Arabidopsis thaliana: one gene and its partners. The protein of the gene in region 1 interacts with the protein of each later gene in a biochemical or structural test. Each region holds a gene or a part of one and is shown on either strand. Other genes may lie near its edges.

Region 1 (9,295 bases):
TTACCCATTACTCCGATCCGTCTCTCAATAATTAATGTAGAATAGAGAAATCTCTCTTCATCATACAATGTCATTAAAGATATCCCACACATTAACAAAGAAGTTCTTACTAAATCCCTAAATCAAATCAATATAATGCATTCTTGCTCATCAAAATGCAACCCTCAAGAATTCAACATCTTTACGGTACAATAGGGAAGACAATGTCTAATGACTCTTCACATTTCATTGAACATATATAAGCAGAAAAATTTCAAACTATAGTTGCAGAAATTTCCAACCCGTATAAAGAAAAGAAAAAAATGAAACATTCAGGCTCATATGCAATAACAACGTCGAAATAATGAAATTTCAATCATCTACATGATCATGTAGTAGAGTGCTCTCAACCGTTGGATTAATTTATACATTTTCTATGTGTAAATGTGTATCATGATAGAAAAGGCACGCACCAATGGAACATCTGGGTAACGACGTAGCAATCAACCACATAATCGACGATCAACATTGAAATCTGAGTACGCGCGACTAACGAACGAAACGTTTAGGGTTTGCAAAATTGAAGGTTGAAGAGACGAAGAACGGAGACAACGTCATAGGGAACGGTTACGTGGTATTAATCTGAGCATCGGAATGTGAGCCATGTGACGACGTGGCCTCCTCTTCTCTTCCCGGAATCGCCATGGAAACAAAAATAAAATTTCTTGGAACGAACTAGCACATGTGCCACGTGTCACACTAGGCTTCTTACATTTTTTTTTTATAAAAATAATTAAACTGGAAAATGGAAAAACAAATAACAATTCATAAAAACTGTAAATTTAAAAATATATCTTCTTCGTCTTGATGATTATACATAAACATAACTTCCTTAAACAATTACTAGGTTTTTTTCTTTTTCTTGTTGCATGAAATATAAAATTGCAAAAACATAGTAAAAGAGAAACAAATTATCAATAAGAAAAACACCACGCCGGTCCAGCTTGAGCCTCCCTACAGAACCGATAATAAAGCCAGGCCGGTCCACCTTGCGGCTCATTATGGAACCGATTATAAAGCCAGGCCGGTCCACCTTGTGGCTTATTGAGTAAACCATTATGAAACCGGACCGGTCCACCTTGTGGCTCCCTACGGAACCGATTATAAAGCCATGCCGGTCCACCTTGCGGTTCATTACGGAACCGATTATAAAGCCAGGCCGGTCCACCTTGGAGCTCATTACGGAACTGATTATAAAGCCAGGCCAGTCCACCTTGCGACTCATTGCGTAACCCATTATGAAACCGGGCCGGTCCACCTTGTGGCTCACTACTTAACAGATCTTGAACCCAGTCCGGTCCACCTTCGTCCTCATCAGCACGTAACCGATTACGAAGCAACGCCAGTCCACGTTGCGCCTCACTACGTAACCGATTAAGAAGCCACACCGGTCCACCTTCAGAAAGGTACGGGTTAAAACGACCATCCCTTGTAACACTCTCCGCAATGTCCCGTGCAATGGAATTAGCAGGACAAGACACCAGCTCAAAGATGATAAAAGGAAATGATTGACAAGCTATGAAAATAGTATCGAGCCACATTGCATATCGAGGCCAATCCCGAGGATTATACAAGGCAGCAATTGCAGCTTGACAATCCGAAGAGATTATCACGTTTTGCAAACGAAGATCTCGTAAGCTTTTAACCACCCACAAGATACAACGCAACTCGGCCATGATCCTATTTGAAGACCTTGTAAAAGCATCTCTTGCATGGTATAGAGCCAAACCATTAACATCACGAGCAATCCAAGCTACCCCACTCATCATGTCAGCATTTCCCCAATGAGCATTCACATTACACTTAACAATTCCAAAGTCTGGAGGAGTCCAGTTAAGATCCAAGCTCGTCCCCCGAACAAAGCATGCGCCATATGTATCTATCTGTCGCGCATTAAGCCACCGTTCCTCTTCTTCAACCCCTATGGATCCTTGTACACTCAAATCCACATGTCTACCTGCAAGCAATTTATCATTTTTATTAAACAAATTAAAGATAAAATTTCTGAATTATTAGTTAGATACAAGTTACAAGAAAAATTGCAAAATTCTAGCTATCGTCTTTTTAAAAACAAACGTTAGACATTAGGCTAATTGTATAGTTTATGATAAAAGGACAACGACATCAAATTAAAAAGATTACAAAACTCATTAGCCATACAAAAGTTAAAAACTCACAAGAGTGTTAAACACAAAATTGACAAGAACCATATAGATTTAAATTGATATATCAAAGAGAGAAGGTTCAGTTACGATTTATGTGTCCTCTGTGATGAGCAATCATGACTTGAGAAGTAGACAATAGCATCGTCTCTTGAACCTTGTTTAAAGGTCTGACCGGCCGTTTTGTTAACCAACTGAAAGATTCTAACAACAAATTTTCTTATATATATGCTTTACCAATTGTTGTCTTTGAACAACCATAAAAAACAAAAAACAAATTGAGAGTTCTTAAATACACAAAATTGAGAAGGTAGTGAATGAAGACTATTATTATGTTACCAAATTATATATTCGTATATGTTTACCACATTTAAAGCATAGTCAATAAAAAATAAAAACGTTACCAAATGGATAATATATTGAAAGTTGATTAGTAAGTATCATTTATGTAATTTCCATCTCGTGTATGCATAATTGTATGCATATTGGTATTATAAATTCATATGGGACTTTAAAAATGGAGTAGTTGCATTTGTTGATAAAACAAAAGAAAATGGAAGTTCTCTCTGATTCAAGAATAAAGGTAACTGTAACATGTTTTATACTCACATAGACATTTTTGATTACTATGTTTTACAAGATTTTAGGAAAATGACTTGTGTGCGTGTGTGTGCTTGTCTGTTGCATAAAAGAGAAGAGCACAAGACTGATATTTACGATTGGTATATTAGAATGCATTATACATTCATGTTTAAATTTTACTGCATTAGGGATTACATTTTGTTATTTTTTGTGCTAACTAATTTATTTTGATTAGTAATCATTTATCACAACGGTAAGAAGTACTATTCCGTTATTTCTGTTACCCTACAAAAAGCAGTAAGCTTTTGATTAATAATCATATATCGCAATGGTAAGAAGTATACTGTTATTTCTCTTATCCAATTCCTGCTTTTGATTAGCAATCATATATTGCAATGATAAAAAATAATCGGATATTTTTTGTTACCAAATACATAAGGCGGTAAGATTAACAATGCCAAAACGTTACCATCGTTATTTTTGTACCTCTATATTATACCAATTTTTCTAGATGTTACTCGAAATACATCTAAACATAAATAAGTCATCTCGATCGAAAAACTTTTCATTAACAATGAGATTTCTAGAATCATATCTACATATCACTTAAGTCTTCAAAAACATAACCTTTTTCTTTACAAGATTCTTGATAATTCTAATCTATTTAATTTGTTTTTTTTCAAAAAATTAAAACCATAAATCAAGTGTAAAAAACAAAAAAAATCTCATAATCTATAGCGTAATCCACATATTAACCAATAGTAACTCGTGGAGGTGATAATTATATAGCTTAATCCAACCCTAGCCAATCATGTAAAGCGTTAGGGATAATGTACTCTTAGAGTCTATCGACCAGTGAAAATAAAAAGACAGTGAAAATACGATAAGAGAAAGAAAAAAAAAAAACAGAGAAGGTAAGAAAAATTCAAAGCGAGGTTCTCGGGAACCAATCTGGAAGGAGGAGGGGTGCAGAGAGAGAGAGAGAGAGAGAGAAGCGAAGACGATGGCGATGATAGGGATGAACATTATTGGGCTATTCATGGTTCTTATGTTGCTTCTCATCTCCCTCATCATCCTTTTCGCCTGCAAGCCATGGCGATATTTTTCTCGTTTCCGATCCTCCTCTCGTTTTTCTTCTACCTTCAAGGTTTCTTCTTCCTCTTCCTCTTATCTCATTCTCTATTCAATTTTCAGAGTCTTCGTTCCACGGCTTCGTTTTTTGATTTTTGATTCGATTTTATGTCGGATGGTTTGTTTTCGCGAAATGATCAATTGATAAAGGATTTGATCATCAGTGACAAGTGTTACGTCGCTGGATCATGATGCTTTTCTCGTGGATTCCGATAGTAGTTGGGGTTATTTGGCGATTTCGTTGATTGATTTTGTCGACGTGGGGGCGGTGAGATATATATTGTGTGTTTGGTTTCTGAAATAATCTGATTGACTTTTTGGAGATGATAATGTGTTGTTGAGTTTTCTCACTGTTGAAAAATTAGGATTCTTTTGTTGTTGTTAGATTCTTTTGAAGCTCAAGAGTTGATAGATTCGTTTGGTTTATAATGAGTGTGGCTGGATTTTCTCTGCCTGCTCGATTTGCACAAAATGGTTTTGTTTGAATAAAGCGTAATGGCCGTTTCAGCTTCTTTTGTGTGCTATGTTTTCTTCTTCTTCTCTAGCCATGGCTAATTGACATTTTCAACGGCTCAAACTGTTGATGTGCACTTAGACAGACATTGGAAGTAGGGAACTCTTGTGAATTTGCTTGCGAAAACTGTCGATTTGTTTCTGAATTTGGACATTGGTGCTTATATATTAGGCAATGTGAATGTTGCCAAGAACTCAGTTTCAGTGTGGGAAATTATCGTGGGAGAACTTCTTCCTCATTAGTTACCTTTTTGTAGGAATTCTGTGAGTTTTGTTTTTTTTGTATTTTTGTCTTTCTACCGGAGAAATGGTAACAAATGAATGAAAAAGGTGAAATCAGCTGTTCATTCATTTCCTAGCTCTGTTATACTCTACTCCTTACTAATCTAATAGGCGGTTTTACTCTCACTGGAAATAGGATACAGCTCATCCATCTAGTCTTTTCGCTTGTAGATTTCATTTGTTTGCAATTTCTCCATAACTTGGATAACATACTAAAATTGTATAAGAACTAAATCCACCTTATTATTACTACATTCTTCATATAGGGAAATATTGAGTTTCTCATCTTTCAGCTATTGAGTATCCAGTTTACGCAACTTTTTTTTTGCTCCTAGCCCTAATTCTTTCAGCGCCATTGTTTGCAGGTGGGGGATTTGCAGAGACCACTTATTTCTGATGATGGAAATTTGATCCAAGGACAAACCAGTGAGGTAACAAGGGAATATGATTTAGAGGGAGCTTGCTACCAAAATGATGGACTTTTGCATTCATCTCTGACTGAGGGACGGTTTTACAAACAAAGGCTTCCTTCGTCATCTCCCCATTTCTCCCAAGGTACTCATTGCCTCTTTCCTCCCCTGCTATGTCCAGCTCTGGTAGACAAGTTGGATTGACTCTAGATCATTAGCGTGATGGAAATGATACAGTTGTATCAGAAACATCCTCTTTGCATTATGAACTCTATGCATCACTCATTCTTGACCTTACCAATCTGCCCTAACTTATGTAGGTGAAAGCTTTGTTCTAGAAGTAATTTCTGAACCTTCTGACAATGCTTTGGTGGGCCAAACGCTTAAACTTCCAGCTGAAAAAGGTTCCTTGGCAGAAGTGCAAACATATGACTGGCAGAATAACAGAAATGAAAACTTGCAATATAATCTGGAAAAGGATCGACTTATTAATCTTTCTCCGAGGCTCGTGGAAGATCAAAGTAATTTCTTATTCTTTTGCTTGCCTAGGGTGTGTAATACAACTTCAATCCATTTTTTGAATTACTTGTGCAAGACATATATCATATTTTGTGTTAGAAGTGCAGGAAGTTGGCTGTTCCTGGAAGTCATCGCGGGTCCTGCCATTGGGCTTCAACATGCTGTGAACTCCACAAGTTCCTCCAAGCTGCCAGTGAAACTTGGAAGGGTTTCTCCTTCTGATTTGGCATTGAAGGACTCAGAAGTCTCTGGGAAACATGCACAGATAACATGGAACTCTACTGTAAGGAGCTATGTAGATTTATTTATACGACTTCTGCATGCCACTTCTTACACTGTGCGTCACACCTGCCTGGTTTTGATTTCAGAAATTTAAATGGGAGCTGGTAGATATGGGTAGCCTAAATGGAACTCTCGTAAACTCTCATTCAATAAGTCATCCTGATTTAGGCAGCCGGAAGTGGGGTAACCCTGTCGAGCTTGCAAGTGATGATATAATAACTTTGGGAACAACAACAAAGGTCTATGTAAGTCAATCTGAGTGGTGAAGGTGCTTGCTGGTAATTTTTTTTGTTTCCCTTGTTAATTTCATGCAATTTCTTTTCATCTTTGGAAGGTCCGTATCTCCTCTCAGAATGAGTTTCAGATACCCTTCAAAATTGGTGTGGCCTCAGATCCCATGGCTATGCGTCGAGGAGGCAGGAAACTTCCGATGGAAGATGTTTGTCATTACAAGTGGCCGCTTCCTGGGGCTAATAAGGTTACCTTGATTAGTGATTTGAGTTGTATGTATGATGATGGGCTTCGCTGCTTTTGATAACATAATTCCAAATGTATATGGTTTCAGTTTGGACTGTTTTGTGTTTGTGATGGACATGGGGGATCAGGGGCTGCTCAATCCGCAATCAAGTGAGTCTTTCTTAAAAAAATCCAAATCACCTCTATTAACTATTTCTTTTATAAAATCCTCCTCGATAGGTCTTATTTTGGGTTTTCTTTGTATGCTTAACCTACGAAATGTCCTAACCTGAAAAAGGCTGCGGTTTTGGCTGTGTTTAAACTTCTAACAGCATCCGCCTTTCTGAGTTTTTCTTTATTGTTTTTGCTTCATTTATTAATCAACTTCTTATGTAGTTTAAAATTTTTAGCTGCATGTGATTAGCCATGCAAATGTGTTACAGTTAGGGCAGGCGTGGTTACAGCCGGGAACAAATATATGAAACTTTGTTCTGTTCATTTTTGTAAATGGGCTTAGTCATTATATGTTAGGAGCCTTCACTAACTACTGGAGCATCTTTGATTTACTTGTGTCTCCAACAACGGCAATTATATACTTGAATATATAAGCTAATTAAACTTCTTCTCCAGAATTATTCCGGAGGTTCTAGCGAATATTTTATCAGACTCGCTGAGGAAGGAGAAAGTGTTATCAAAAAGGGATGCTTCGGACGTCCTTAGGGACATGTTTGCTAAAACAGAAGCTCGCCTCGAAGAACACCAATATGAGGTATTTCAGTTTGTCCTTTTCTTTTCCTTTGATGGCATGTTTGCCTTCTTGACGACTTGGCTGGAACTTTTTCATTGCTTCCTACTTAATGAATTAGTTGATCGATGCAGGGTTGTACAGCTACTGTTCTCTTGGTTTGGAAAGACAATGAAGAAAACTTCTTCGCACAATGTGCCAATCTTGGGGATTCAGCATGTGTTATCCAGTACGTAAAAAATATTATATTGCTATTCTTGAGATTCGTAGTTGCTGAGCTTGCATTAACCAGACTTGTAGCAGCATTTCTTGGTGTAGAAAGAGGGAGGGGACTTGATTACTCAGATTAGAAACAAAGATCTTGCGTGTTTAAAGCGTGAGTGAGTGTGGTCTTCTTAATGAAAACCTCTTGGTTTGGAAACAGTAGATGATTACTAATATAGGCTTTATAGTAGAGTAAATAGACATCAATAGATGAGATTGTTTCACGTCGGAGTAGAATTTTTTTGGATAAGAAAAAGAATATTTGAATGTCGTTGCTTTGCTTTGTGGAAATAGAAAGAGAGTTTATCCCTACATCTTCCTTGATACGGATCTTAATTAATAATAAAAAATTCTGATAGTTGTTTTGCTCTTAGGAATTAATGGTCTCGGCATTATAATAGTAACTTCGACTTTCTTAACTGATTACGATTTGGTTTGCATTTGGCAGTCTTGGTGGCAGATATATACAAATGACTGAAGATCATCGAGTGGTTAGCTTGAGCGAGAGAAAACGATTCCAAGAAGCAGGACTAGCCTTGAGAGATGGAGAGACTCGGCTTTTTGGTATTAGCTCAATGAATTAAACACGCTCAGGTGATTGCAACTTCTTTGTAACAAAATGACCAAATCTGATGTGATAATTTTCTTCAGGTATAAACCTTGCGAGGATGCTTGGAGACAAGTTTCCAAAGCAACAAGACAGCCGTTTCAGTGCAGAGCCATATATAAGTGAGCCTTTGCGTATCGATCAATCTAGTAAAGACGTATTTGCTGTATTGGCTAGGTAAAAAAACATAAACATAAACATAATAAGCTTTTTCCCGTTTTCTGATTCTTGCTCGCTAATTTTTGAAATCCGAATACTGCAGTGACGGGTTATGGGACGTGGTAAGTCCGAAGAAAGCTGTGCAGCTTGTACTTCAGGTAAAATCAATTTCTACTCGTTGAGACATTTGCTATGTCTGAAAACGTCGATCTCATGTAATGTTTATGTTATGGCAGATGAGAGATAAAGAGAGAGGGAGAGAGAGTAGTGCGGAGAAGATAGCAAACGGTCTGCTGAATGAAGCTAGAGCGATGCGTACAAAGGACAACACCTCCATTATTTACTTAGATTTCGATACTTCCCTGTAATGTTAGGAAACATCTTTTAAGATATTTGGGAAGTGTCTTTCTTTTGTGTACCATCTTTTTATGTATTAGTATTTTTGTTAGGGTATAAGAGAGACAAAAAAACCTCAGATGCAGAGATTTAGGATGGATCGTCTTGGTGAGCGACATTGGTTTCATTATCTTTACTTATATAATTAATAATATTATCAGTTAAAGTTTCTGTTTCGTATTTTATTCTTTGGTGAGAATGAATTTCATCAGACAATACAACTTATCAGTTTAGTATGGACTATGGAGTCCGTAATTCTGAGTATTCATTGGTACTTTTGGATTTCGATTTTGGTTTTTGATTTTAGTATCAATACGGTTATTCTAGAGTTTCGGTTCAGTTTTGTTCCAGCTATTTCAGTTTTGTTCTTTTTACGATGTGTACGCAGGCACCAAAATAATACTATTTTGACTGTTGTTCGGTTAGAAGTAGAAAGAAAATCACAGATTTTGTAATAAAAATCTGCCTATTTTCGGAATGAACACGTATACAATTTTGACTGATATATATGGAATGAACCAAAATAGTCAACAGTCAAGAATTTCAAGAGATTTTGGGATTCTTTCCTCAAGTAATCTTACTACCTAATCTGAGTTTTGACTCAATAAATTTTAGTTTAACTTCCGTTTTAAAAATTGGAGTTGTTGTTCAACCTTTTGCATCGTACTAAAACAAATTAAGAAAAACAGAACCCCAAAAAGATTTGAAATTGAAAACAAAGCGGGCCCAAAAATCAGGAGTAGTTCGA
Region 2 (7,900 bases), on another chromosome or scaffold:
ACTTCTACTACTACTTTTGTAGCCTTGTCGTTTTTATCATTAACATGATTGACAAGACTATGACCTATATATCTTATTATTATCATTGCTCTCTCTATTTGTTTATATTGATTATTACTTTTTGAGATTTTTCAATGGTTTTATCTCTAACTAAACATTATAATTAGTGAAACAAGCTTAGTAGAAGTAAAAGTATTATTCTATGCTAAAGTACATTGATTAGTAGAGTGTGTAATTGTGTATACAGATAATCTATAAACAATTGGTGCATCTGTATATAAAACTTTATGATTTATTTATTGTATTTAATAAGTATATGAATTGGGTACCTAACTTTCTAAACAGTTCCAAATTTATTCTTAAATCAAATTGCATATGATTTTTAAATATTTTGAGACGATTTTATTATAACGCAAACAACAGAGTAAAAGAAGCATATGTTGCAAATTGTACTATGGCAAGTTCAAATCGAAACATTTTTGTGAAAATCAAACATGTGAACCAAGCTTCTACAGTTTAATTCCCTTTCGTATAATTTAATTTCAACAAATTTATTGATATCCATCTAGAAATTGGTCCAAAGTTCTTTCACCCTTGAGTCATTTAGTGATAAAGATGACATGATTTTTGGTGATAAATTTTCCATCGTTGCTATATGTCGTTATATTATTCTCCTATATGTATATTATACTATTTACATCAGAAAATAATCCAAAGTTTAGAGATTCTTTTTTACAATAATAAAATTTCCCACTTACTAAAAAGAGCTCCTTTTCTGCTGAAGAGAACCTAAACCTTTATTCCCAAAGTTCATTGAGTTAGAGCATTTTCAGCGAATCACATAAGAGATGCTCTCTTCTTCATCACTAATTGACATCTCATTGTTTTAAAGGTTGCACTTGTACCTGTTGATCTGATTCTCAATCCACTTAAGTTAAACCAAATAGACACGAGAAAAAAGCACATTTATTTGTTGCTAAGTATGCATATTTTTCAGCGTTTACTTCTTAATCTAATGTATATCATAAGATAATATCTAAAAGAGAATGCACAAAAGATTATTAATATGAGAAATTCGCTGCCATTTAGGAAGGACCTTTATACCAATATACCGCAATAATAATAGAACATTGGTCCCCAAGTGTATGTCAACCCCAAGTGTATAGATTTCTTTAAAGATTAAAATCCCTTTTTGTTGCTAAAGCACCTGATATATTTTTCTATCAAACTAAAAAAATTGTTAGCGGGATGAAGATATATTCGCCAAGAACCATAGTGCTTGTATAACGGCAGACCATTAATTCACAACTATTATTATTTTATTGTTAGATTGTTGATAGAATCGATTTTGATTGTGGCAGAATCGATCTTGTAAAAACTGCTTTAAGGTGCTTACTTATAATTAAGAAAGATTCACTTATGTAAGTTAAGCATATTAATCATATCATTCGGCCTAATTCATTAGGAATATTTTGCTATTCGTTTTGCCATCATTAACAACAAAATTGACACGTTTTCAGCCAAAAGTATTAACAACTAAACCTAAAACTTCAAACATTAAATAGTTTTTAGTATCTTTAGTTTCAAACTAGTGATTTGTCCTAATATCAACACTACGAACGAATTTATATACATTGAACTTTTTTCTGAATCACCGATTACAAAACGAATATAATTTGGTATCGGCAGTTGCTATTAATTTGATCGGTTTGGACTTTGGACTAATCACGATCAAATCTTAAATGGACCGAAGTGAATAAATCCCTAATGTTTTCAAGAGAGTCACACGAACGAAACAAAGGTAAAATATGAACATAGAGCGTGGGGACCTTGAAGCAGAAGGTCTGTATGGTGACAGACCGGTGAGTGGAGTGTATGAATGAACGAGAAGTGAGAAGACAAAATACAAGAAAGAGCGTTGACTTGGAAGTTAAAGCCAAAAAAACCACAAGGGGCAAATTTGTCTCTTTAGGAAAAGGACACAGACAGACTTTCTATACGGGCCAATTAGAAAAATAGGCCCTACTTCTAATTAAAGCCCATTTACTTCTCTCCTTGTCTTCTTATTCCTCTTTTCTCCCCATCACGTGACGACGATGCTATAAACGCCGTCGGATTATATAACTGGTGCCGTTGACAAGACGGCGACAGAAGAAAGAAAGAAGAAACCACAGGCTCTAGGGAACGTAACGTTATGTCCTGTCTATAGCATTTATAACGGTCAGATCAACGCCGTTTAGATAAAGATCTGTCAATGTTAAAGAAGAGATGCATCTCTACACCGTTAAATTTAAAACGCCGTGAACCTCTTATCTATTGATTTTTGTTTGATGAAGCCAAAACAAATCGTGTCAGAAGACTTATCAGAGAAGAAGAAAACGACGACGTTCCCGTTTCTCCATGTCTAATAAGTGTAGTAGTGGCGGCTACTAAAAACTCTAAAGTTTGACTCCAGTAAAACTGCCTTTCTAGTGTAATTCCAGTGATTTTAGAGTTTGAATAGTGTGTGACCAAATTTGAAAGTACAATCTCAGCAATATTATTGATCACTCGTTATAAAAGAATCGAATGTAAAAATAGCCAATGAGAGACTGAGACGTATGTGTTTGACCATAAGTCGTATAGTTTGTATCTATCTACCTGCAAGATCAGCAGATGGTTCTCTGATCAATTGTACCTTAATTATCTTTTATTTTCGTAAAATTTCTCTATTCACAAATGATAAATCTACTTAAGACAGTAACCATAACAAGATTTACAAGATAATTTGAAAAATGAACACATAAAAGTATTTTGGCGCATTATTTTTAATAATAACAATATTTATGTAAAGTCACATAAAAGTATATATTCGCTCACAAAGTCTTACGGTATTTAGAACAGTAGTACCACATCGATTCTCTTCATCTTCTTCTTCATAATATGCCATTGTTCATGTCTCTGTGTCCTATCGCATAACACTCACGCTATCTTATTATTTTCTCTCGCTCTTTCTCACTGAGAGGACACTAAAAAAATGGCGATGAGACTTTTGAAGACTCATCTTCTGTTTCTGCATCTGTATCTATTTTTCTCACCATGTTTCGCTTACACTGACATGGAAGTTCTTCTCAATCTCAAATCCTCCATGATTGGTCCTAAAGGACACGGTCTCCACGACTGGATTCACTCATCTTCTCCGGATGCTCACTGTTCTTTCTCCGGCGTCTCATGTGACGACGATGCTCGTGTTATCTCTCTCAACGTCTCCTTCACTCCTTTGTTTGGTACAATCTCACCAGAGATTGGGATGTTGACTCATTTGGTGAATCTAACTTTAGCTGCCAACAACTTCACCGGTGAATTACCATTGGAGATGAAGAGTCTAACTTCTCTCAAGGTTTTGAATATCTCCAACAATGGTAACCTTACTGGAACATTCCCTGGAGAGATTTTAAAAGCTATGGTTGATCTTGAAGTTCTTGACACTTATAACAACAATTTCAACGGTAAGTTACCACCGGAGATGTCAGAGCTTAAGAAGCTTAAATACCTCTCTTTCGGTGGAAATTTCTTCAGCGGAGAGATTCCAGAGAGTTATGGAGATATTCAAAGCTTAGAGTATCTTGGTCTCAACGGAGCTGGACTCTCCGGTAAATCTCCGGCGTTTCTTTCCCGCCTCAAGAACTTAAGAGAAATGTATATTGGCTACTACAACAGCTACACCGGTGGTGTTCCACCGGAGTTCGGTGGTTTAACAAAGCTTGAGATCCTCGACATGGCGAGCTGTACACTCACCGGAGAGATTCCGACGAGTTTAAGTAACCTGAAACATCTACATACTCTGTTTCTTCACATCAACAACTTAACCGGTCATATACCACCGGAGCTTTCCGGTTTAGTCAGCTTGAAATCTCTCGATTTATCAATCAATCAGTTAACCGGAGAAATCCCTCAAAGCTTCATCAATCTCGGAAACATTACTCTAATCAATCTCTTCAGAAACAATCTCTACGGACAAATACCAGAGGCCATCGGAGAATTACCAAAACTCGAAGTCTTCGAAGTATGGGAGAACAATTTCACGTTACAATTACCGGCGAATCTTGGCCGGAACGGGAATCTAATAAAGCTTGATGTCTCTGATAATCATCTCACCGGACTTATCCCCAAGGACTTATGCAGAGGTGAGAAATTAGAGATGTTAATTCTCTCTAACAACTTCTTCTTTGGTCCAATTCCAGAAGAGCTTGGTAAATGCAAATCCTTAACCAAAATCAGAATCGTTAAGAATCTTCTCAACGGCACTGTTCCGGCGGGGCTTTTCAATCTACCGTTAGTTACGATTATCGAACTCACTGATAATTTCTTCTCCGGTGAACTTCCGGTAACGATGTCCGGCGATGTTCTCGATCAGATTTACCTCTCTAACAACTGGTTTTCCGGCGAGATTCCACCTGCGATTGGTAATTTCCCCAATCTACAGACTCTATTCTTAGATCGGAACCGATTTCGCGGCAACATTCCGAGAGAAATCTTCGAATTGAAGCATTTATCGAGGATCAACACAAGTGCGAACAACATCACCGGCGGTATTCCAGATTCAATCTCTCGCTGCTCAACTTTAATCTCCGTCGATCTCAGCCGTAACCGAATCAACGGAGAAATCCCTAAAGGGATCAACAACGTGAAAAACTTAGGAACTCTAAATATCTCCGGTAATCAATTAACCGGTTCAATCCCTACCGGAATCGGAAACATGACGAGTTTAACAACTCTCGATCTCTCTTTCAACGATCTCTCCGGTAGAGTACCACTCGGTGGTCAATTCTTGGTGTTCAACGAAACTTCCTTCGCCGGAAACACTTACCTCTGTCTCCCTCACCGTGTCTCTTGTCCAACACGGCCAGGACAAACCTCCGATCACAATCACACGGCGTTGTTCTCACCGTCAAGGATCGTAATCACGGTTATCGCAGCGATCACCGGTTTGATCCTAATCAGTGTAGCGATTCGTCAGATGAATAAGAAGAAGAACCAGAAATCTCTCGCCTGGAAACTAACCGCCTTCCAGAAACTAGATTTCAAATCTGAAGACGTTCTCGAGTGTCTTAAAGAAGAGAACATAATCGGTAAAGGCGGAGCTGGAATTGTCTACCGTGGATCAATGCCAAACAACGTAGACGTCGCGATTAAACGACTCGTTGGCCGTGGGACCGGGAGGAGCGATCATGGATTCACGGCGGAGATTCAAACTTTGGGGAGAATCCGCCACCGTCACATAGTGAGACTTCTTGGTTACGTAGCGAACAAGGATACGAATCTCCTTCTTTATGAGTACATGCCTAATGGAAGCCTTGGAGAGCTTTTGCATGGATCTAAAGGTGGTCATCTTCAATGGGAGACGAGACATAGAGTAGCCGTGGAAGCTGCAAAGGGCTTGTGTTATCTTCACCATGATTGTTCACCATTGATCTTGCATAGAGATGTTAAGTCCAATAACATTCTTTTGGACTCTGATTTTGAAGCCCATGTTGCTGATTTTGGGCTTGCTAAGTTCTTAGTTGATGGTGCTGCTTCTGAGTGTATGTCTTCAATTGCTGGCTCTTATGGATACATCGCCCCAGGTTAGTTACATGTCAACAACATTAGTACTCACCAAAATGATATATGTTCTGATTATCATTTTGTTTTTGGTTTGCATAGAGTATGCATATACCTTGAAAGTGGACGAGAAGAGTGATGTGTATAGTTTCGGAGTGGTTTTGTTGGAGTTAATAGCTGGGAAGAAACCTGTTGGTGAATTTGGAGAAGGAGTGGATATAGTTAGGTGGGTGAGGAACACGGAAGAGGAGATAACTCAGCCATCGGATGCTGCTATTGTTGTTGCGATTGTTGACCCGAGGTTGACTGGTTACCCGTTGACAAGTGTGATTCATGTGTTCAAGATCGCAATGATGTGTGTGGAGGAAGAAGCCGCGGCAAGGCCTACGATGAGGGAAGTTGTGCACATGCTCACTAACCCTCCTAAATCCGTGGCGAACTTGATCGCGTTCTGACCCAAGCAAGATAAATATGAAAATAAGATGCGAAATGTGGTGATCATTTTTTGGGTGTTCTTATTTATGGTTTCTAATACTTTCGGGTTTGTATATTTGTTGTGTTTCAATTTGTATATTACCTCTTTATGTGTTATTATCTCGAGTATGTAATGTAATCAATATGCTTATTGCTTGATGGCTTTAAACTTTAGCTAATTCTCCGTTCAGAGTGTATAAAATAAAAGAATGTGAGAGCTTTGACCTCTGGATTTAAGTCTAGACTGTTTAGAATATGTGAATTAGGGTCATATCTAAATTCAGGTTTGTGTTAGCTTCCGACAGTGTCATGTTGCAATCTTGACCTTACTTACAAAGTATTTACCAGCAGATGGCTCGGAAAATAAAAAGGAAACACATCTGATAAAAAAAAACACGGAATCAACAGACTAATGGTTGATTAAGAGATTGGACTCGTACTCTGCATTTGGAATAATGACCAGTTTCATTGAGTTCTTGGGGGTCATTCACTTCTCATATTTTTACGAGCTAAGAAAATCACCTCAGGGTCATAACATTGTAGTTTCTGCTCTTGAAGCAAAACACACATAAACTAAGAAACCGGAAAAATTCACAGAAATCAACAACCAAGAAGCTTTAAAAGTTCATGAACAACAGAATTCAACCTCTATAATGTGCATTTTCCCACAAGATGAGGATGATGCTGTGAAGCTAATTCTATCCATAACTCTTACCTCCATTCATAGAGCAATTCAGAGAAGAAGACAAGGCACATAGTCACAACTTATAAACGGGTGTGAGAAGAAGACAAGGCAAATTAGTCACAAATTCATTAAGGTAGAGAAACAAGATCCTTCATTACTCTGTTTTAGTCTCTTCATTAAGAATCATATACAATTTAAATCACAAAACTTTCAAGGCCACAATCTTGATTAACTTGGAAAGACCTGAGTTTCATTCAGATTTAAACAACACTGCAGCTCTCAAAATTCAAAATCGATTGTATAAAGAAAACAAGAACATCTATCATCATCATAATCACTATCCGATTTTACAACATATCAATACAAACAAAAACCTCCCAGCTTACACGAAGAAGAACATCATTACCTTATTCCTTAACTCCGAACACATGTTATTTAGATTACTCTGTTTTAGTCTCTTCATTAAGAATCCCCCAAAATTCTCAATGCCACAATCCTCATTCAGTGGTAAGACTCGAGTATCAACATTCAAATTTGGATAACAGTGCAGCTCTTAAATTCAAAATCCATTTTTACTTTTAAAAACAAGAACATCATATCTATAATCATCACAATCACTATCCGATTTTACAACATATCAATACAAACAAAAACCTTCCAACTTACAAGAAGAAGAACACCATTACCTTATTCCTCATCATCATCTATTACACAGAAAATCTATGAGAAACGTATATATCTAACACATGTTATCTACTTCACAAAAGTCAAAATAAAGAGGGAAAATTCGAAGTTTATATACTCAGAAAGCACCGTAAGGTATATGTTGTGGAAGCCTAAATCGAACCTGTGAAGCCGGAGACCGAACCGCAACGCCGTGCCAGCAAATCCCTCCTTTACAAATCGCACCACCGTCGTGATGGTGACGGTGGTGGCTAAGATCTTCCTCACCACCAACACGATTGTACCGAGAAACCGCCTCCGCTGCTCTACGAGACACATCCCAAGCAAGCGTAACTGCAAGCAAAACACCAACTGCCGTAATCGAAACGACGACGACGAATCCAGCGCTGAAACTCCTCCCGGTGATTAATCCGTAGGCTTTAATCGCGATAATCACCGCCACGTAGATCGTCGCGAGATTCCCGAGAACCGCGT
Region 3 (7,140 bases), on another chromosome or scaffold:
CACAAACTCGTAGACAAGTATTTTCTCTTCTCTCTCCAAACAAAATCCAAGAAGCTTGACCAGATTTCTGTGCTGAAGCTTTGCCACAACAACAACTTCGTTCTTGAACTCTTTCTCACCTTGTCCTGATGTTTTCGATAGTCTCTTCACGGCAACTTGTACTCCATTAGGAAGTGTGCCCTAAAAAGATTGTGAATTAAACAGAGCCATCCCCTTATTTGATCCTCTTATGCAAGTAACAAGGAAACTCAATGAACCGGTAGTAGTACCTTGTAAACTTGTCCAAATCCACCTTGACCGAGTTTGTTACACATCGAAAACTTATCTGTTGCAGCTTCAATAACCTTGAAATCAAACTGCAGTGACCCTGCAGTTGTGATGTCATCCTCTTCTGCAAAATATTTAAGAATTCAAATCCATAAAAGTTTAAGCAACGGACACATAGATTTTGGAATCTTTACCATCATTTGCACCTGGTGTATCATAAGTCTTCTTTGCTCTCTTTGATGCATGGAAGCTAAAAACAGCTACACAAATAAGAACTGAGATAGCGACTGGCACAACAATTGCTATGATTATCACTGTAGAATTTTTGCCTTTTCCTGCATAAGTCTTAGATTAGACATGAACTAAAACCAAACTAACTATTAGGTAAATAAATAAAACAGAGCTCTAACCAGGCGGAAAGGAAGGAGTTGAAACCAGTGGCAGTGGAGGAGCCGAAACCGGCGGAGGAAGAACAGTTCCCTCTATAGTTTCCTTGTAAAAGGGGTAAACCTCGTACCTTGAGTTACAACTTGGGACAAGAAATCTTCCTCCAACTTTGTTGAAATATAATTCTTTGATGGATTGTTGAAGACACATTACACAATCTTCACTAGTCAGATCAGGAATGCACTGAACCGATGCATAAAGCGACTGAGACGAACTGAAATCCGACTTCTTAACCGCGAATTTCTTGCTTGTACTATTAGCCGCTTCCTCTGCAGACTTTTTCATCAGAGAAAGCACTGCATCATTAAACCGGTCAGATTGGTCCGCCGTAACTTTCTGAGTGTTCCAAGTGATTATTGTAGTTGTGGTTACAGTATCCATGAATATATTCCTGTCTGAGTATCCAAGCATGCACTCATCATACTGAATCAAGAACTCTTTCCCACCTGGACATCGACTCCGAGTGTCTTTAGCAGCAAAGATGACGCACTCACGGCAAGATTCTGGCGAGAGATCTCCTTTGCAGAGATAAAGTCCGAACACCATGTCGGAGTTTTGACCCTTTGTGAGACTATGAGATCCCAAAGAGAAGTAAGCATTGTTAGAAGAAAGAGAGGTCAAAAGTGTTTGGAGATTTGAGAAGTAAATGGAGTTTCTTGATATCCTGTTAGTACAAACATGGCCAACGTAAGTAGGGTCTTGTAATTGTGCAGAAACTCTCAAGCTTCCAATGAAGAAGGTTAGAAGGAAGAGAAAGTTTAATGAGGTATAAGCAGACATTATCCAATTTCTTCACCTTTCTTCTCTGTTTTTTTTTTCTTACTTTTAATGATTGGTTTATGAGTACTAATGAATGAATGTGAAACCAGCCAAGCCAGTCAAATTTTGGTTTTTGTAAAATAATACAATATCTTGCAAGTCAAGGTCAACTAGACGAGTAACATCAACTTGTATTGATGTTAACTAAAATGAATCAACTATAAAAATGTTAGAATAAACATGTGAAAGCGAAAACCAGAGAAAATACAATTATAAATTTTTAAGTTTTCATGAATCTGTTTCCGGAAAAAGATGAACCTATTGGAGTTGGATATTTAATAGGTTTGTGATTATTCAGCAAGCCGCGGAGACTTTGGGTCAATAAGACAACACCGTTTTACTTCCTTACCAAAGAAGTAACAAACGAACAGTTACAAGTTAAAACAGTAACTTCCCAAACCCTAGTTGCTTCAGTTTCTAGCCTTCACTGCTTCATCAAACCAATCAACACTCTTAGTGGAAGGTTGACTCTAAAGATTGTCGTTGACTTCATATTTTAGTACTTTTCCTTCTGAACTTTACAACTGTGTATAAGAATTTTAGAGTCATTTTGGGAAACAAAGAACTGAAACTTGCCTACTTACATCATTTCATCTCTCTGTTCCTCACAAACTCTCTTGCTTCTGCAGAAAACCGTACTTACTTATCACATCTCTGTTCCAACAAAACAAACTGATTGTGTAAGAATCAGCAGATAAGCCATTAATTCTCTGCACCCTTTTGTTTTCACTCTCTAGTAAATAAAATTCTAGACAAGAGTATCTTACACTTACTTGTCAGGCACTAAAATATTATGAAACAAAAATGGAAGTAATTTAACTAAGAAAAATCGAAGCTTGACCGAAATTCTGCGTTAAGCTTTGCTACAACAAGAATCTCATTCTTGAATTCCTTTTGTTTCTAATACCAAGTTGTAGTAGGCTAGTGGTTCCCAACTTTTAAGGAGCTCCCGTTTATACACTCATTATTGGGCTCAACTGGTGATATGTGGATCACTGATCAAATAACTAAATTTTGATTCAAATTCAAGTTAATTTTAACGTGGGCTTTTCCCAAATAAAAATATATGTTGTTTAAGAGAAATGACAATAATAAGAAAAAGAATCATTTACTTTGACTTGTTGACTCTTATAGTCACCACAACCCATCTTATACTACACGCTAGTGATCAGCTTATAAATGGGAGCTCTATGATGTGAAACTCAAATCAAGGTACTCAAACAATGTCTTCTCTTATATCTTTCAACTTCCTTTTCCTTTTCTCATTCCTCACTAGCTCCTTCACAGCTTCTGCTCAAGATCCTTTTTACTTAAATCATTATTGTCCAAATACGACAACTTACTCAAGTAACAGCACTTACTCCACCAATCTCAGAACCCTTTTGTCCTCTCTATCTTCACGTAACGCCTCTTACTCCACCGGATTCCAAAACGCCACTGCAGGAAAAGCCCCCGACAGAGTCACCGGACTTTTCCTTTGCCGCGGAGACGTCTCACCGGAAGTTTGCCGTAACTGCGTAGCCTTTTCTGTCAATCAAACCTTAAATCTTTGTCCCAAGGTAAGAGAAGCCGTGTTTTACTACGAGCAATGTATACTCAGATATTCTCACAAGAATATTCTATCGACGGCCATTACAAACGAAGGAGAATTTATCTTGAGTAACACCAACACTATTTCTCCTAATCAAAAACAAATAGACGGGTTCACAAGTTTTGTTTCCTCCACGATGAGTGAAGCTGCCGGTAAAGCAGCCAACAGTTCTAGAAAATTATATACGGTGAATACCGAATTGACCGCATACCAGAATTTGTACGGGCTGCTTCAGTGCACTCCTGATCTTACAAGAGCAGACTGCTTGAGTTGTTTGCAAAGTTCCATCAATGGAATGGCTCTTTCCAGAATAGGAGCAAGACTTTACTGGCCGAGTTGTACTGCAAGGTACGAGCTTTACCCGTTCTACAATGAAAGCGCCATTGAAACACCACCACTACCACCACCACCACCACCACCACCACCGAGGGAGTCGTTGGTGTCTACTCCTCCGATATCATCTTCTTCATTACCTGGTGAACTCATTCTCCGTCCTCTCTTTTTATTTCCCCTGCTTTCTTGAAATACTAGTAGGGAAAGTTTTGTTGTTTTGATTAATTTTTGTATTTTTATACTCTGTGGCATTATCTGATCTTAAGCCAATGATCTTTAAAAAGCAGGGAAAAGTGGGAACTCAACAGTGTTAGTGGTAGCCGTTGTTGTGCTGGCTGTTCTGCTTTTCATAGCTTTAGTTGGTTATTGTTTCCTTGCAAAAAAGAAAAAGAAGACTTTTGACACAGCATCTGCATCGGAGGGTAAAGATTACTAACAATCTTAATTAGGTTTGATATATTAGTGGTCGTCATTCATCAGCCTCTTTAGCTGATTACTAAGACATTTGTTCTGTTTATTGTGCAGTAGGAGATGATATGGCAACCGCAGACTCACTACAGCTCGACTATAGAACAATCCAAACTGCAACAAATGATTTTGCAGAGAGTAATAAGATTGGTCGAGGTGGTTTTGGTGAGGTTTACAAGGTATACTATAATATCTTCAAGTACACCCTAGGTTAAGTACTTCGTATTGATTCTTTGATTGGATAACGAGATGATGCTGATTAAAAAGTTAAACGGATAGGGTACATTTTCAAATGGGAAAGAAGTTGCGGTGAAGAGATTGTCGAAAAATTCAAGACAAGGCGAAGCGGAGTTCAAGACCGAGGTTGTTGTAGTTGCCAAGCTTCAACACAGAAATTTGGTTAGGCTTCTTGGATTTTCATTACAAGGAGAGGAAAGAATTTTGGTCTACGAGTATATGCCTAACAAAAGCCTTGATTGCTTACTATTTGGTCTGTTGCATTTCAATGATTCTTTGACCATTAATCTTGAAACTTGGGGTTGCTAATCTCAAGATTTAACTGTAATCCATGGATTTGCACAGACCCTACAAAGCAAATTCAGCTGGACTGGATGCAGCGATACAATATCATTGGAGGAATTGCTCGGGGGATTCTATATCTTCATCAAGATTCACGGCTCACAATCATACACCGTGACCTTAAAGCAAGTAACATTCTCCTAGATGCGGATATAAATCCGAAAATTGCAGATTTTGGAATGGCTAGGATCTTTGGATTGGACCAAACCCAAGATAACACAAGCAGAATAGTTGGTACCTAGTAAGTCTTCCACTTAACATCTCATAACTTATAATATGTTGAACATTTTACATTGCCAACATATACACTAAAGTTTTGTTGTGGATTCCAGCGGTTACATGGCTCCTGAATATGCGATGCATGGCCAATTCTCAATGAAATCTGATGTCTATAGCTTCGGAGTGTTAGTTCTTGAGATTATAAGTGGTAGGAAGAATAGCAGCTTCGGCGAGTCAGACGGTGCACAAGACTTGCTCACACATGTAAGTTTTAAGACAATCAATATATACCTCTCTTACATTACATTAAGTAATGTTAGCTAGAACTGATTGCTTGATTGGTATTCAAGGCTTGGAGGCTTTGGACTAACAAAAAAGCATTAGACCTCGTGGATCCACTTATAGCAGAGAATTGCCAGAATAGTGAAGTGGTTCGATGCATCCATATCGGTCTTTTATGTGTTCAAGAAGATCCTGCAAAGCGTCCGGCAATATCAACCGTTTTCATGATGCTCACTAGTAATACTGTGACCTTACCAGTGCCTCGGCAACCAGGGTTTTTCATTCAATGTAGAGCCGTAAAGGACCCGCTTGATTCAGATCAGTCTACCACGACCAAGTCTTTTCCAGCGTCTATTGATGATGAATCGATCACAGATTTATATCCGCGCTAAATATGACCTTAAACTTCATGCTTGTAATCAAGCTTACGCAAATGTTTACATATTTGTAGAATTGTGGATGTGATCAACCCTAATAATTTTTTAGTTTTGATTTGGTTTGTTAAAACCATATGTATTTTGTTTTGATTTTTTAATAATGAATAATTAGTCTAGTCTCAACATCACCACCGATTGAAAAAAATGAGAGAGGGAGAGAACACTTGGAATGTTGGCATTACAGTTTGGTTCATTTTAAAAATTTGGGCAATCCAAAAGCTATAACTTTGGAGTTCATTTCAGCGTCTAAGAGCCAAGAGGATATATACCTGCTTTGAAGTCACAATGTATGGTTATGATCTTGAATCATTCTAGAATCGCTTTAGCAATACCTCCAATGATCTTGTACCATTTGATTTGGAAACAGAGACTAAACAGAGTACAGTGGGAAGGTGATTTACATGATTTGTAATGTGGTGAAGTAAATGAAATGTGAACTATCTATCACGTCAAAAGTTTTTTTTTTTTTTTTCTTGTTGTAAAGTAAACTAATAACTAATACAATATTTTGAAAGACAAAGTCATCTACACGAGGAATTTAAATGTTAGACTAATAAAACATGTGGAAGAGATAACCAGAGAAAATAGAATTACAAAATTCCAGGTTTTGACGTCTATCAATCTATTTCCGAGAAAAATAAAAAATATTGGGTTTGAATATTATTTAATAAGTTGATGACTATTCTGCTTGGCGCCGAAACTTTGGGTCAATAAGACAGCACCGTTAGACTTCCTTACCATACAAGTAACAAACGGAACAGTTATTAAGTTAAAACAGTCATTTCGCAACCCTAGTTGATTCAGTTTGTAGCCTTATTTAGAATCAGCACCAATCAACGCGCTCAGTGGAAGGTTCGCCTACAAAGAAATAGGCTTTGATTTTTAGAGTCTTTTTTTTTGGAAACAAGGAACTTTACAAATATGCCTAGACTTATATCACTCACATCTCTTTTCATACCTTCTGCACTTTTTCCTATAAATTATTTTTCAATTTTTTTTATATAAAATATTTTCATACATCTAGATGGATCCTTCACAACTTTTGAGATTATTTTGTTATTGTTTTATGGATTTTGATATTCTTCATAAAATTTAAGTTTTATTAATTTTCATGATTTTTAAACTCCATTAAAAATTGTGTTATTCAAAGGCTTAAGTTTCATTAAAATATATATTGTTTGTAAAATTTTATTCATAAAACAAAAAAAAAAAACTGTGGATATCCTTTACAATATTAAAATTATTCTATAACTACAATACTCTCTACAATCTTAAAAATCTCTCATTTCTTGAAAGTTGAAACCAAACTCCCATATTATTTAAGAGGTGGAGAAACAATGATTAAGTTTTTGGGTTTTGCTCAACAAATGTTTTTTTGGATCAATGATCCAAAGATTCCAAACACTAAACTCAACGTCTTCTTCCAATAACTTTTACTTTTGTTGTTAATAAAAATGACATAAAAAAGATTAATCGTATACAGTACATTGAGTTTGATTGACGACTGACTTTAAAGTCGTAACAAACCACCGTATATTTCACGTTAATCAAATAATCAGCACTAGTCAGAGAGAGAATATAATTTGTCAGTTTATAAATGGAAGCTGCATAATGTGAAACTCAAATCAAGGAACTCAAAGAAAAAACCATGTCTTCTCTCTTCCCTTTCATATTCCTTTTCCTTTTCTCATTCCTCAC

The links.
Region 2: the proteins of KAPP (region 1) and CLV1 form a complex in vitro, tested with the Arabidopsis thaliana proteins (4 studies listed by BioGRID, with this or other methods).
Region 3: the proteins of KAPP (region 1) and CRK6 form a complex in vitro, tested with the Arabidopsis thaliana proteins (one study listed by BioGRID).

Annotation. Positions count from the first base shown.
Region 1 is NC_003076.8:6,484,664-6,493,958, forward strand, and holds KAPP (kinase associated protein phosphatase), read left to right. Parts: upstream 1-3,655; 5' UTR 3,656-3,786; coding exon 3,787-3,930; intron 3,931-5,074; coding exon 5,075-5,264; intron 5,265-5,439; coding exon 5,440-5,640; intron 5,641-5,745; coding exon 5,746-5,921; intron 5,922-6,006; coding exon 6,007-6,165; intron 6,166-6,254; coding exon 6,255-6,398; intron 6,399-6,485; coding exon 6,486-6,547; intron 6,548-7,006; coding exon 7,007-7,145; intron 7,146-7,255; coding exon 7,256-7,350; intron 7,351-7,471; coding exon 7,472-7,501; intron 7,502-7,833; coding exon 7,834-7,949; intron 7,950-8,036; coding exon 8,037-8,169; intron 8,170-8,254; coding exon 8,255-8,309; intron 8,310-8,387; coding exon 8,388-8,519; 3' UTR 8,520-8,776; downstream 8,777-9,295. Other genes in the region: AT5G19270 (reverse transcriptase-like protein), read right to left, coding at 954-1,996, 2,292-2,346. UniProt on the Arabidopsis thaliana protein: Dephosphorylates the Ser/Thr receptor-like kinase RLK5. May function as a signaling component in a pathway involving RLK5. Binds and dephosphorylates CLAVATA1 (CLV1). Functions as a negative regulator of the CLV1 signaling in plant development.
Region 2 is NC_003070.9:28,461,769-28,469,668, reverse strand, and holds CLV1 (Leucine-rich receptor-like protein kinase family protein), read left to right. Parts: upstream 1-2,697; 5' UTR 2,698-3,016; coding exon 3,017-5,606; intron 5,607-5,685; coding exon 5,686-6,038; 3' UTR 6,039-6,325; downstream 6,326-7,900. Other genes in the region: AT1G75810 (uncharacterized protein), read right to left, coding at 7,545-7,900.
Region 3 is NC_003075.7:12,118,641-12,125,780, forward strand, and holds CRK6 (cysteine-rich RLK (RECEPTOR-like protein kinase) 6), read left to right. Parts: upstream 1-2,742; 5' UTR 2,743-2,756; coding exon 2,757-3,600; intron 3,601-3,744; coding exon 3,745-3,879; intron 3,880-3,982; coding exon 3,983-4,104; intron 4,105-4,204; coding exon 4,205-4,415; intron 4,416-4,507; coding exon 4,508-4,745; intron 4,746-4,818; coding exon 4,819-4,987; intron 4,988-5,073; coding exon 5,074-5,397; 3' UTR 5,398-5,565; downstream 5,566-7,140. Other genes in the region: CRK5 (cysteine-rich RLK (RECEPTOR-like protein kinase) 5), read right to left, coding at 1-180, 270-391, 462-602, 678-1,494; CRK7 (cysteine-rich RLK (RECEPTOR-like protein kinase) 7), read left to right, coding at 7,091-7,140.